2 linked regions of the Caenorhabditis elegans genome follow. The protein of the gene in region 1 interacts with the protein of each later gene in a pairwise test. Each region holds a gene or a part of one and is shown on either strand. Other genes may lie near its edges.

What was found.
Region 2: the proteins of Y47G6A.14 (region 1) and mrpl-12 interact in a two-hybrid assay, tested with the Caenorhabditis elegans proteins (2 studies listed by BioGRID).

What each region holds. Positions count from the first base shown.
Region 1 is NC_003279.8:3,462,156-3,470,342, forward strand, and holds Y47G6A.14 (RING-type domain-containing protein), read right to left. Parts: upstream 6,033-8,187; 5' UTR 5,967-6,032; intron 5,426-5,966; coding exon of another isoform or gene 5,353-5,425; intron 5,311-5,352; coding exon of another isoform or gene 5,148-5,310; intron 5,099-5,147; coding exon of another isoform or gene 4,979-5,098; exon of another isoform or gene 4,977-4,978; intron 4,148-4,976; 5' UTR 4,134-4,147; coding exon 4,082-4,133; intron 4,031-4,081; coding exon 3,903-4,030; intron 3,855-3,902; coding exon 3,809-3,854; intron 3,766-3,808; coding exon 3,669-3,765; intron 3,624-3,668; coding exon 3,554-3,623; intron 3,497-3,553; coding exon 3,398-3,496; intron 3,344-3,397; coding exon 3,218-3,343; intron 2,704-3,217; coding exon 2,551-2,703; intron 2,149-2,550; coding exon 2,027-2,148; intron 1,686-2,026; coding exon 1,511-1,685; intron 881-1,510; coding exon 755-880; intron 709-754; coding exon 616-708; intron 340-615; coding exon 220-339; 3' UTR 115-219; downstream 1-114. Other genes in the region: AFG3-like protein spg-7, read left to right, coding at 4,979-5,098, 5,148-5,310, 5,353-5,425, 7,131-7,329, 7,387-7,511.
Region 2 is NC_003281.10:10,705,847-10,709,049, forward strand, and holds mrpl-12 (Mitochondrial Ribosomal Protein, Large), read left to right. Parts: upstream 1-1,914; 5' UTR 1,915-1,920; coding exon 1,921-1,990; intron 1,991-2,038; coding exon 2,039-2,239; intron 2,240-2,297; coding exon 2,298-2,548; 3' UTR 2,549-2,675; downstream 2,676-3,203. Other genes in the region: Y39A1A.21 (ATP synthase subunit C lysine N-methyltransferase), read right to left, coding at 724-957; Y39A1A.22 (Xenotropic and polytropic retrovirus receptor 1 homolog), read right to left, coding at 59-694; W09D10.5 (N-acetylgalactosaminide beta-1,3-galactosyltransferase), read right to left, coding at 2,767-2,804, 2,848-3,122.

The sequences.
Region 1 (8,187 bases):
GGTCATAAAAGTCTGTAAAATATTTTGTTTCCGATCAAGGGTGCTGGCGAATATCCCGCTATCGCTCGTCTCTGCAGTTGCCATTGCCAGGAAAATCCATGATTGAAATGTTCTCAACTTTTTAATTTATTCAAGTTGTTATACAGACCGAAAAATTCGAAAACTCATTTAAATATAAAATTCATAGCTTTAAAACTTGAGCATTTCTCAGTCGGATAATTATGCGTCGCTAGTAGTTCCAAACTCATTCTCCACTGCGTCGAGGCGTTTCTGCTGCATTCTGACGACAGTCTGGCTCATATCAGCATTCGATTGGAGAGAAGAAATTGCGTGGTCCGCCTGAAAATGGTAAATTTTCTTATAATCTTTCTTTACTTTTCCGAACAAATTTTCGATTTTTCGGTTTTTTTTTTTTGTTGAGCAAAACCGAAAAAAAATCTGAAAAAACTTCAAAATCGGAATTTCTCATCAAGAATGCAATATTTTTTATTACGGTTTACGCGTATTTCATACAAAAAAACAGAAATTGCACTTTTTTGAGCAAATTTGACCGCAAAATTTTTCACTTTTCGGTTTTTCAAAAAATCGAAAACCCCGGCAGGCTTGTTTCCGAACCTTCTCCAACTCGTTCTGAAATCCCTTGACAACCTCCGCTTGTTCCGGATGTCCACGACTTTCCATTGCGATTTTCGACATCTTGGTGATTTTCTGAACATTTTTAAATATTTCAGATAATTATTTAATTGAAACCCACGTCATCATATCCTTCCAACTGTGTGATATAATGTTTGAAGGTGTCAAGAAGAGCCGAAAATTTGATATTAATCTCATCTTTATGCTTTTCAACTTTCGAGAAAACCTTGAGCGAGGTGTAGGCTTCCTGAAAAAAAAGATTAATTATTTCTCTTATTATGGGAACATTTAATTCTGAGAATGCGTATTGTACAACATATTTGACGCGCAAAATATCTCGAAGCAAAAACTACAGTAATTCTTTAAAAGACTACTGTAGTGTTGATTTACGGGCTCGATTTTCGAATCAATTTTCTGTTCGAAGTGTGCTTTAATAAATGATTTCCGTAAATCGATACAAACGCTACAGTAGTAATTTAAAGAATTACTGTAGTTTTCGCTTCGAGATATTTTGCGCGTCAAATATGCTGTATTATCAGAATTTTGTGTTCTCGTAATAAAGGCTGGTTCACAAAATTACCCAAAATTACCGAATTTTTCTTTTTCTTTATAAATTATGTCGGTTTTAAAAATTGGGAAAATACATTTTTTCTTGCTAAAACCTCAAATTTTGAAAGCTTTACAAAGTCAGAACTTGCAGAAGTCAGTTTTCATTTATTTATCACATTTTACTACACATTTTGGTCGATTTTTGTGCATTGCGACCGAAAATGTAAGAAATTGTGATAATTAAATAAAAATTTACTTCTGCAAGTTCTGAAAATACGCGTTTTTTGAGAAATTTTTGGTCTTTTTAGGTGTAAAATTAAGTTTTTACCTGAACTTGAGAATATCTGACAGTCTTGTGCTCGCCGTCAGAATGATGATGATCGACGATACAATTCGTGCAAATCGGCAGAGTTTCAAGGTCAACTGCGTCGATTTCAGTTGTTTCGAGAAGATTGTCAACGAGTTTTCCGACGACTTCAATGCATGTTTTGCAGCAGCGGAATCTGTATGGAAAAAATATTGATTTTTTTTTTGATTTTGCAGAAAAGTTAATTATTTTTGAACTCCCGCGCAAATTTTCTCGGAAATTGGCCAAAAACTCGATTTTTTGCGGAAAAAATGTCTGAAAAAATAGAAAATCTTTTTTTGCTGCAAATAAAAAATATACATACAATTTCAGGCTGAAAATTTCAGTTTTTTGAGTTTTATTGTGAATATTTTTTAGAAATTAAAAAAAAACAGTCAATTAAATTGAAAATAACGAAAAATGCTCAGCAGACGCTCCAAATATTTCAATTTTCTGTGAAAATCGGCTCCAAAATATCCAAAAAATGAGTTAAAGAACCTTTCGACGGTCTGCTTGGTCATACACTCGCTGCACGTGAGCTCAAAAATTTTCTCGACGGGCTCTTGGCATTTCGTCTCCTCGTCCTTTTTGTTGATGGCCACGAGAGCAGTGAATGATTTCTGAAATTTAATTTATTACTCAGTCGCGAAATTTTGCGCGAAACTACGGTATCAGGTCTCAACACGAAAGATTTTTGTTGAAGGCGAGAAGGTGTGCGCCTTTAAAGAGTACTGTAATTTTTGTAAATTTTGAATAAATTGACAAAAAAAGTATGGGAAAAACATCGATTTTTCATCGTTTTTCTGTCGAAAAAAAATTCCAAAAAGTGAAATTACAGGAATTTTTTTCGACAGAAAAACGAAGAAAAATCGATGTTTTTCCCATACTTTTTCTGTCAATTTGTTCAAAATTCACAAAAATTACAGTACTATTTAAAGGCGCACACCATTTCGAATCCAGCAAAAATCTTTCGTTTCGAGACCCAAAACCGTATTTTTGACGCAAAAATGACGATTTTTTACTTGATATTCCTTGTCCTTATTGGCAATTTCCAAGCACACAGACTGTACATAATCTGACATTCTTTTGATTTCCTGATCAATTCTCTTGGAAAACTCCTCTTGGACATCACTAGACTTGCTTTTTCTCATCATATCCGTCATCTTGTCGAGCTCCTGGAATTATTTGATTATTGATTGAAAAAATAATATGGAGACGCAGAAAAATGCGCCTTAAAATTTAAAAATCAACGTGGAAATGTGCTCCGCCTCCAAATTATCGGTCTCGTTAGGTATACATGGCGGCAAAACTGGAAAATTCAAAAAATTCGAATTTCAATTGTTTTATGTCGAAATTGATGAAAAAATTGTTTTTAAATGCATTTTTAACGTCATTTTTCCGTAAAAATCACGAAAAGCAACAGAAAACTTCTTCAAAGATTTTGTCACCAAATATTTTCAAAAATCAAAATTTTTCGATTTTTTTAAACGATTTTTCGTGTTCCGAGGAAAAAAAATTGAATTTTCACTAATTTCCGAAGAAAAATTAGTTTTTTAAATCGAAATCCACTTTTTTTTTTGATAAATTCATAGTATTCTTCCATTTTTTCTCCTAGATTATCTCTGAAAATATCCGAAAAATCGAAATTTTGACCGCGCACATCGATTTCAAATATCAAATCAAAATCACCGTGTGGAATGTCTTATATGTCGATGCAAACCGAGCATACCACGCATTGGTGAGCCCAAACGACGATTCGAGCTCAATTCTCAGAAGAGAAATACTTGTAAGCTGGCTTGCGAAGTTCATTCCGGACTGAAAATTTACAATTTTAAGTCTTTTCTTTACAAATAAATTTTTTAAATATACCGCAACCGGGAAATAAGCCACAGTCTCGTGGCCCTGTGTGACATGAGATCGCAGTGCACAACTTCCACAAAGCGCCAACGATTTGATATCCAAATCCACCTTAAAAAATCATTTTTCAATTTTTTTTTTTTTTTTGAAATTGGATATTTTCCGGACCTCGGCACCCAAATTCTCCACGACGTCGTATTTGAAGGCATCAGTGACGCAATTGCGGCAGACGAACATGCTGGAAATTGAATTTTTTTGTTATTTCTAATTAAAAGAGGCCTACTCCGATTCGTTGTCGTATTTGGTGCATTGAGTGCAGTCCACTGCATTTGCAGGCTTCTTTGGCTTCTCACGAAGCTTTTGGATCATGGTCACAGCATCTGAAAAATAGTTTTTTTCGGGAAATATGAATATTTTTAAAACTTGTCAATGCAAAGTTTTTTGTTCGCTTCTCCTTGCTAACCACGGCCTGAAATTATTTTATTTTTAAACAGATATCAATATATTTAAGCCATACGCGGCATGTCGGGCATTGTGTCTGGCCACCAGATCCATATGCGTCAGAATAATCGCTTTTCAAGTGCACAATGCAAGTTTCGCATAGAGAATGGCCACAAGATATGATGAATGGAGCCTTTTGATCATCTGAAAATAAAAATGTGCTTGTTTTACAATAAAAATTGGGATATTTTTCACCAAATTCTTCCTGGCACACAGGGCAAGTCGGGAGTTCTTCATTAACATCCATTTTTCTCGAAAATTCTGAAAAATAAAGTTTTTTAAATTAGAAAAATCAATATTTTTAAATTTTCGTTATTTTTAATCGTCGAATAATTGAAATTTTCGTTTAAAATTAAGGAAAAACAATTTATACAATTTATATCCGGAAAAATTAATGTTTTTGCAAATATTTGAGTTTCAAGCGTTTTCGCTTCAAGTCTCAAGGAGGATAATGTGCTTGCGCCTTTAAAAACTACAGTAAGACCTTTGTTTATTTCGTCATCGAATTTCAATGTTTTGAATCAAATTTCCCGTGATTCCGGTTTGATTTTCACAATTTTATTATGTTTTTACACTATTTAATGAATTTTAATTCAGTATATAATAAAATCCATAGATTATCCACACTGAAAATCTACCAATACCGTCAGTTTCTCAAAAAAAAAACATTTGCCCAAAAAATGCCTGTTTTCCATGGAAATTCACATTGATTTTTAATTTCACAACGTTTTTTTTGCCAATTTCTTTCCAAAATTTCTCAAAGTACTTTCGCAAACTAATCGTTCACTTTTGCGTCATGGCTCTGTGCACTGGAAACTAATTTCAAACGACGCGCGCATTGTCTTGTGCGATGGAGCGCGCTTGCTATTTTCTAAAAAGTGCTCAGTATTTTTGAAGCTTTATGGTTTTTCCTTGTATTTTGCATAATTTTAAACATTTTTCTCGAGAAAAAATATTCGAAAAAGTAGAAAACGGCTGAAATTTGGTTGTTTTTAATTTTTTCCCTCGTTCCTCAATCTTAAAATCGAAGATTTCGTCATCTCTCACTGTTTGCGCAGTGCATGATTATGATAATTAAATTCTATTGCAGAAATGTGGCGATTATACCGAAAAACGCCGAAGCAGCTGAGAAATTCGGTCGAATCATGCTTCAAATCTGTCAATTCCCGCCAATTTTCAGTCAGCTCATTTTCAGCAGTAGCCAAAGATGATGTAATATTACCGCCTGCCAGTATACTGAAAATTCTGAATTTTTTTGCAGAAATCCGTGCTAAAACAACAAGAAGTTCTGCATCTTCTCGCAAAAGATCAGCGATTTGAAGAGCGATTCTTCAATCAAGTACAGCAGACAATTCGATATTTCGCCTCGAAACCAAATGATTTGAAAAAGTTCTTCAGGAAGGAAGCATCGACGGATAATAAAGGTTTTCAGAGGGAAATTATCATTAATTCGAAGTTTTTTCCAGAATCTTCATCATCTTCTGACAAAAAGGACAGCAAAGGAAATAAGGGAGAGGATAATAATCCGTTTAATCAATTGTGAGGAGGAATAGACACAAAAATCGGCTAATTTTGGCTAAAATCTGAAATTTCGCCCAAATTATCATCATTTAGATGCTTTTCACCACGTTATTTTGTTTATTGAAGTCTCGGAGAAGCCCCGGAAATCATTTCTAGTCGAATTTCTTTGGAGTATTTCAAAAAATTGACTTTTACAGGTTTCCCGGGCCGTATTTTGAACTTTTTGGCAAAAATTGTCCCAAAGATCCGGAAAAAACTTGTAAAATCCAATATTTTTAAAATAAATTGGTGATTTTAGCTAAAATTAGCAGTTTTTTTAAAAAGTTTTATTGGCAGAGCAAAAACCGTGCCAGAGTTGCAAAAATTGGCGTTTTTAGCATTTTCTCCATTTTTCCAGATTTTCAAAAATCGAAAATTCGGGATTTCGGAATCATTTCAATAAAATTCAAAATTTAATGAAATCACGAATTTTCCAAATCGTTGAAAAAAAATTCCGAGAAAAAAAAAACAAAAAAACGCCCATTTTTGCAATTCTGGCACGGTTTTTTGCTCCGCCCACGATGTTTTTGAGCGGGGCACCACGTTTTCAAGATCTACGAGAAGAAGATCTACGTTTTCAGGATCTGGCACCGTGCCAAGTGCAGTTTTCGCAGTTTTCTCGAAGAAAATCGAAATAACGATGCTCCGATATTACGCATCGCGAGTTGTTTAGCGTTTTTCAGAAGTTTTTATTCAAAAAAGGTTTTTCTGACTAAACAACGTGCGATGCGTAATATCGGAGCATCGTTGCTTTTTCTTCGAGTAGACTGCGAAAACCGCAGTTGGCATGGTGCCAGATCCTGAAAATGTAGACCTCCTTTTCGTAGATCTCGTTTCCGGCTAGATCTTGAAAACGTGGTGCCTCTTTTGAGCACATTTACCTTTTCTAAGATTTAAAAGTGGGGTACCGAAATCTGGAAAATATTTTCAAATGTCTCCAAATTTTCTTCTCATTCCAAATATCGATGTGAAAAAAATCAAAACAATTTTCTAGATTTTATATGATTTTTTGAAAATAGGAAAAATCACAGTTTTCACCTAATTATTTTTGAATTTCCGCCAATTGGATTTGTTCGGTGGAGCGTGCTTGCAGTATTTTTATCAATTAATTTTTTTAAATTCTTGTTCTTTGACTGATTTTCTTCATTTTCTATGTTTTCTCCTCGGAAAATGGAAGAAATAAACAAGACAAATGCAAAATTCTTGTTAAAAAGTAATTGAAAATGAGTAAAACTGTGAAATATACTAATTTCAGGCTTGTTGCCGTCGGAACTCAGAATATCACAGTTTTACTCATTTTCAATTACTTTTTAACAAAAATGTTGCATTTGTCTTTTTTATTTCTTCCATTTTCCGAGGAAAAAACATAGAAAATGAAGAAAATCAGTCAAATAACGAGAATAAATAAAATTAATAAATAAAAATAATGCAAGTGCGCTCCACCGAACAAATTCAATTGGCGGAAATTCAAAAATAATTAGGTGAAAACTGTGATTTTTCCAATTTTCAAAAAATCATATAAAATCTGGAAAATTTTTTTGAATTTTAATATCATGATATTCGGTCAATGTGACCCCATAGGCGCGTTTTAAAGCAATTTACCCACTGAGCGTAGTCCACCTTTAAAAAAACGGAGAAAACCTCTAAAACCCCTTAAAATCAATCTAATTCCTCCAATTTTCAGCCCAGGAGGATGGCAACAAATTGCCGTTTCAGTTGGAATTCTGCTCGCTCTCTACGCCTTTATGGATTATCAGTCGTATCGTGAAATTTCCTGGAAGGAGTTTTACAGTGATTTCCTGGAAGCTGGACTTGTCGAGAGACTTGAAGTAGTTGATAAGCGATGGGTTCGAATTGTTAGCTCGTCTGGAAAGTATGCAGGAGTTAGTTTTTTAGTTTTTGCACTGAAATTCGTGAAAAAATGAATTTTTTTCTTTCAGCAAACGTGCTATTTCAACATCGGAAGTGTGGATAGCTTCGAACGGAGCCTCGGAGCTGCTCAGCATCATCTCCAGTATGATGCTGATCGACAAATTCCGGTTTTATATAAATCTGAATTCAATTTGTAAGGATTTCTGCAAAAATCACTCCATTTCAAGAAAAATTAGAGAAAAAAAGAAAAAACCCCCGATTTTCTTAAAGAAAAAGCTCTGGGAAATGGGAAAAGTTATAATTTTTGCATGAAAATTCAGAAAAACTTTTAATTTTTCACATTTTTTGTAGTTAAAATTTTGTTTTTAAAGTGAAAACCTTCAGAAAGTCACTGAAAATGAAAATTTTGCACAAAAATTATGGAAAAAGTTGCTTTTTGCTCGTTTTTTGCACTAAAATTTCAAAAAAAAAATCCGATTTTTCTGATTTTTTGCCTGAAAATTTCAAAAACAAAAATTAATTTTGCTGGTTTTTTGCAGAAAAATTTTTAAAAAAACGCAGTTAGGCTGTTTTTTGCCTAAAAATTCGAGAAAATCTCAATTTTGCTGAATTTTTGCACTAAAAGTCTTTTAAAAAATCCGATGTTTCTGATTTTTTGCCAAAAAATTCAAAAAAAAAAATTTTGCTGATTTGTTGCACTAAAATTCCAAAAAAAACTCAATTTAGCCAATTTTTTGCACTAAAATTCCAAAAAAATCCGATTTTTCTGATTTTTTTGCACTAAAATTTCAACAAATATCAATTTTGCTGAATTTTTGCAGAAAAAATTTAAAAAATCGCAGTTAGGCTGTGTTTTGCCTAAAAATTCC
Region 2 (3,203 bases), on another chromosome or scaffold:
TTAATTCTGTTTCGTATAAAATAATCAATTTTCCAATTTTTTCAGCGAAATTTCGAACCTTAAGCCTCTTCATTCCAGCTTGTCGATTTCCAGCCTCCAAATCATTAATTACACTGGTTTCCACATTTGTGATCAGAGTTTCAATTTCTCGATTCAAGAAAAACGACGATTTTTCCACTTTATTAATCCGCCAGTCGAGTCCTCGTTCGTTGCCAGTGAGCTTGTCGTGTTTCTTTAAAATCTTCCGAAATCCGGTAGCATTCAATTGCTGAAAGTTCTGAACCAGCACCAGAGAAAGATAAAACTCGGAGAATGCGAGTTTCAGCTGCTGCTCATTCCGTGTGGTCTCCTTATGGAATTTGTCTTTTCCTCCGAACCTTCTACGGATCCCTGTGGTATCGCTGCGAGACCCAAGAACATCCTTGAACACTTGTAGTTCGGTTTGAAGCTCGTGATGTTTTCCCTGTCCTTCAGCGATTTTTTGCGAGAAGAATAGGTTGATCTTGGTGAGCTCTTGGTCGCACTCGTTGAAAAATTTCTCGTCGAGCCGGGAAATGTGCTCTTCTCGGCGGTCATCGTCGGCGGGAACCTCCATCATATCATCGTATAATAGATTTTTGAGCCGCTCATAGTCAATGTATTGTTTCCGCCACTCGGGCGTCAAGTGGCTCGCTAGTTGCTCGCCGAACTTCATCTAAAATCGGGAAAATGGGAATAACTTACAACACGGCCATCGCCGGAGCCTAAATCAATGAGCGTTCCCTTCTTGTTGCTGTTGCTGCTCGTGGCGAGTGAAAGTGCGCGGGAGACGTTCGCGAGCTGCTCCGTCGTTGCTGGGACGTACGGAATGCAGACGCGTCGCAGAGCGGGCGCCACGAACGGAATTGCGGCCGCCGAGATGGCGAGCGCCGTTGCGCCAGCCACACCGGCAATCACCAGACCTGTGTTCATGCCCATACTGCAAAAAAACACAATCTCGAGGGGAACACTCATTGATTTAAATCATGATTTTTTATTTGTTTTAAAATTTATTATTTTTAAGTTTAAATTATCTTTATTTTTCAAAGGATTATTGTTTTTGAATATTTAAAATTAAAATTCATACCCACCTTTATTCTTCAATCGATTTTCTTCGGAATAAGATGAAGTTTCTCATCAACGATTCAAATTTTCTACCTGAAAACAGAAAAAAAATGTTTAAAACGATTTTCAGGCCTAAAACAGTGCAAAACACTGGAAATATATCGATTTACGCATAAATTGCACTCGACAGAATCAAAATTTAAATTCGTACTTTTCGCGAAAAAGAGATAGACAACGAAATTCGATAAGGGCACATGCGACTAAAAATCGGGAGCTCAGTGCACCGGAAGTGCGCAAGCAGTTGATGATTGCGCAAACGAGTGGCTACTGGCGCGTTTTCGGATGGGTCGGATTTATTTTCTGCAATTTCTGTGCGATTTTTATTAATTTTTTGCGTTTCCCACCGTATTTTCCAACCAAATTTCTGAATTTTTATATAAAATTGTCGTAATTTGCATGGTTCCGACGTTGAAAATCACCAAAACCCAGGTTAAAATTCGTTTTTTAAAAAGGGGGTTTACTTTATAAAGATATGCAATTTTGGAATTTCAGTTTTGCTAATTTTTCGTGGTTTCTTAGAGTTTTTCTATTGAAGATTGTTAAAGATCTTGTAAAGAAGATGTTAAGTCGGTAAACATTGCAAAACTTTTAATTTTCCTCAATTTTCGCTAATTTTTTGCGTTTCTTTATGATTTTTATTTTAAAATTAGGTTTTTCGGGTATCGATTTGTTAATTTTTTAGCTAAAAATATATTACATAAACAAAAGTTTCTTCAAACTTATATTTCTCTCTTATTCCGATTAAAAACTAAATTACCTTTCAACTTCCAGGTAAATATGTTGTCCAGAACACTCCGACCGATCTCCAAGGTGCTCAGAAGCAGCGCGAAGTACTCCCAGGCCGCAGGTAATCTGAAAATTAAGATTTTCCTCAAAATCATATCAAAATTTTCAGGTCTTCCATTAAACGAGGGAAGCCCGGCACCATTGCCATCAGAAGACAGAGCAATCTCCGCAAAAGTCAGCTCGTTGGTTGAAGAAATCGCGAATCTCAGCCTGCTCGACGTCTCCGATCTTAACTGGGCTCTCAAGAAGCGGCTCAACATTCCAGATCAACCATTGATGGCTGCTGCCGCTGCTGCTCCAGCCGCTCAGGGTAAACATTATTTATTATAGTTTAATAAAATTATTTATTTATTTTCATTATTTTTCAGCCGAAGCGGAAGCCGCATCAGACGTTCCACAAAAAATGACATTCACTGTGAAATTAACGAAATTCGATGATACCAAGAAGATCGCAATCATCAAGGAGATCCGTAACGCCATTCCAGGCCTCAATCTCGTTCAGGCCAAGAAGTTTGTGGAAACCGCACCGGTAAATGTTAAGGAGGATCTTGGAAAGGCAGAAGCCGATGAGTTGAAGGCTATTCTGGAGAAGGCTGGAGCTACCATTGAAATTGTTTAATTTTTTGTTCTATATTTCCCTCTTTTCATTTGTTGTGTTCTCATTTTCTTCAAATTTTTCGTAGATAGTGTAGCATTTCTTTTTGTTAAGTTTTATTTTATTTTATGGAAAAATAATTAATTTCAAAAATAATTAAATTTACACCCGGCAAGAAGAGAAATACACGTCCCATGATAGAAATACTATTGGATAGATTCTGGAGAAGCTGCTGGAGAAGATCAAAAATCGGTAGTCTCATTTGAAGAAGTGTCAAGACCTGCAATTTGGGAAAATTACCGGAAGCCTGTATGGGTACAAACCTCCGCGTCCGAATACTTTCAGCGACATTCCGAATTGAAGAACTCGCATATCCTTTTCGGATAATTGGCCGAACGAGATCGCGTGGTCGGAACATTTTCCGGCTTTTGTGGGACTTGAACGGAACAATTTCGAGTCTGGCGCAATTATTTGTTTTGGTGGAAGATCGTTGAATAGTCGGAGAGCATCTTCATCAAATGGATCAGCTATCTGGACACCGTACTTCTCGCTGCAGTCGTAGAGAGCGAAATCCGAGGCTCGCGAGAAGAAAAATCCTCTGAAAATCATGAAATCAAACATTTTTAGAATTTATTCGGGAGTTTTCCAGAAGTAATTCTCTGATTTTCGATTTTTTAGT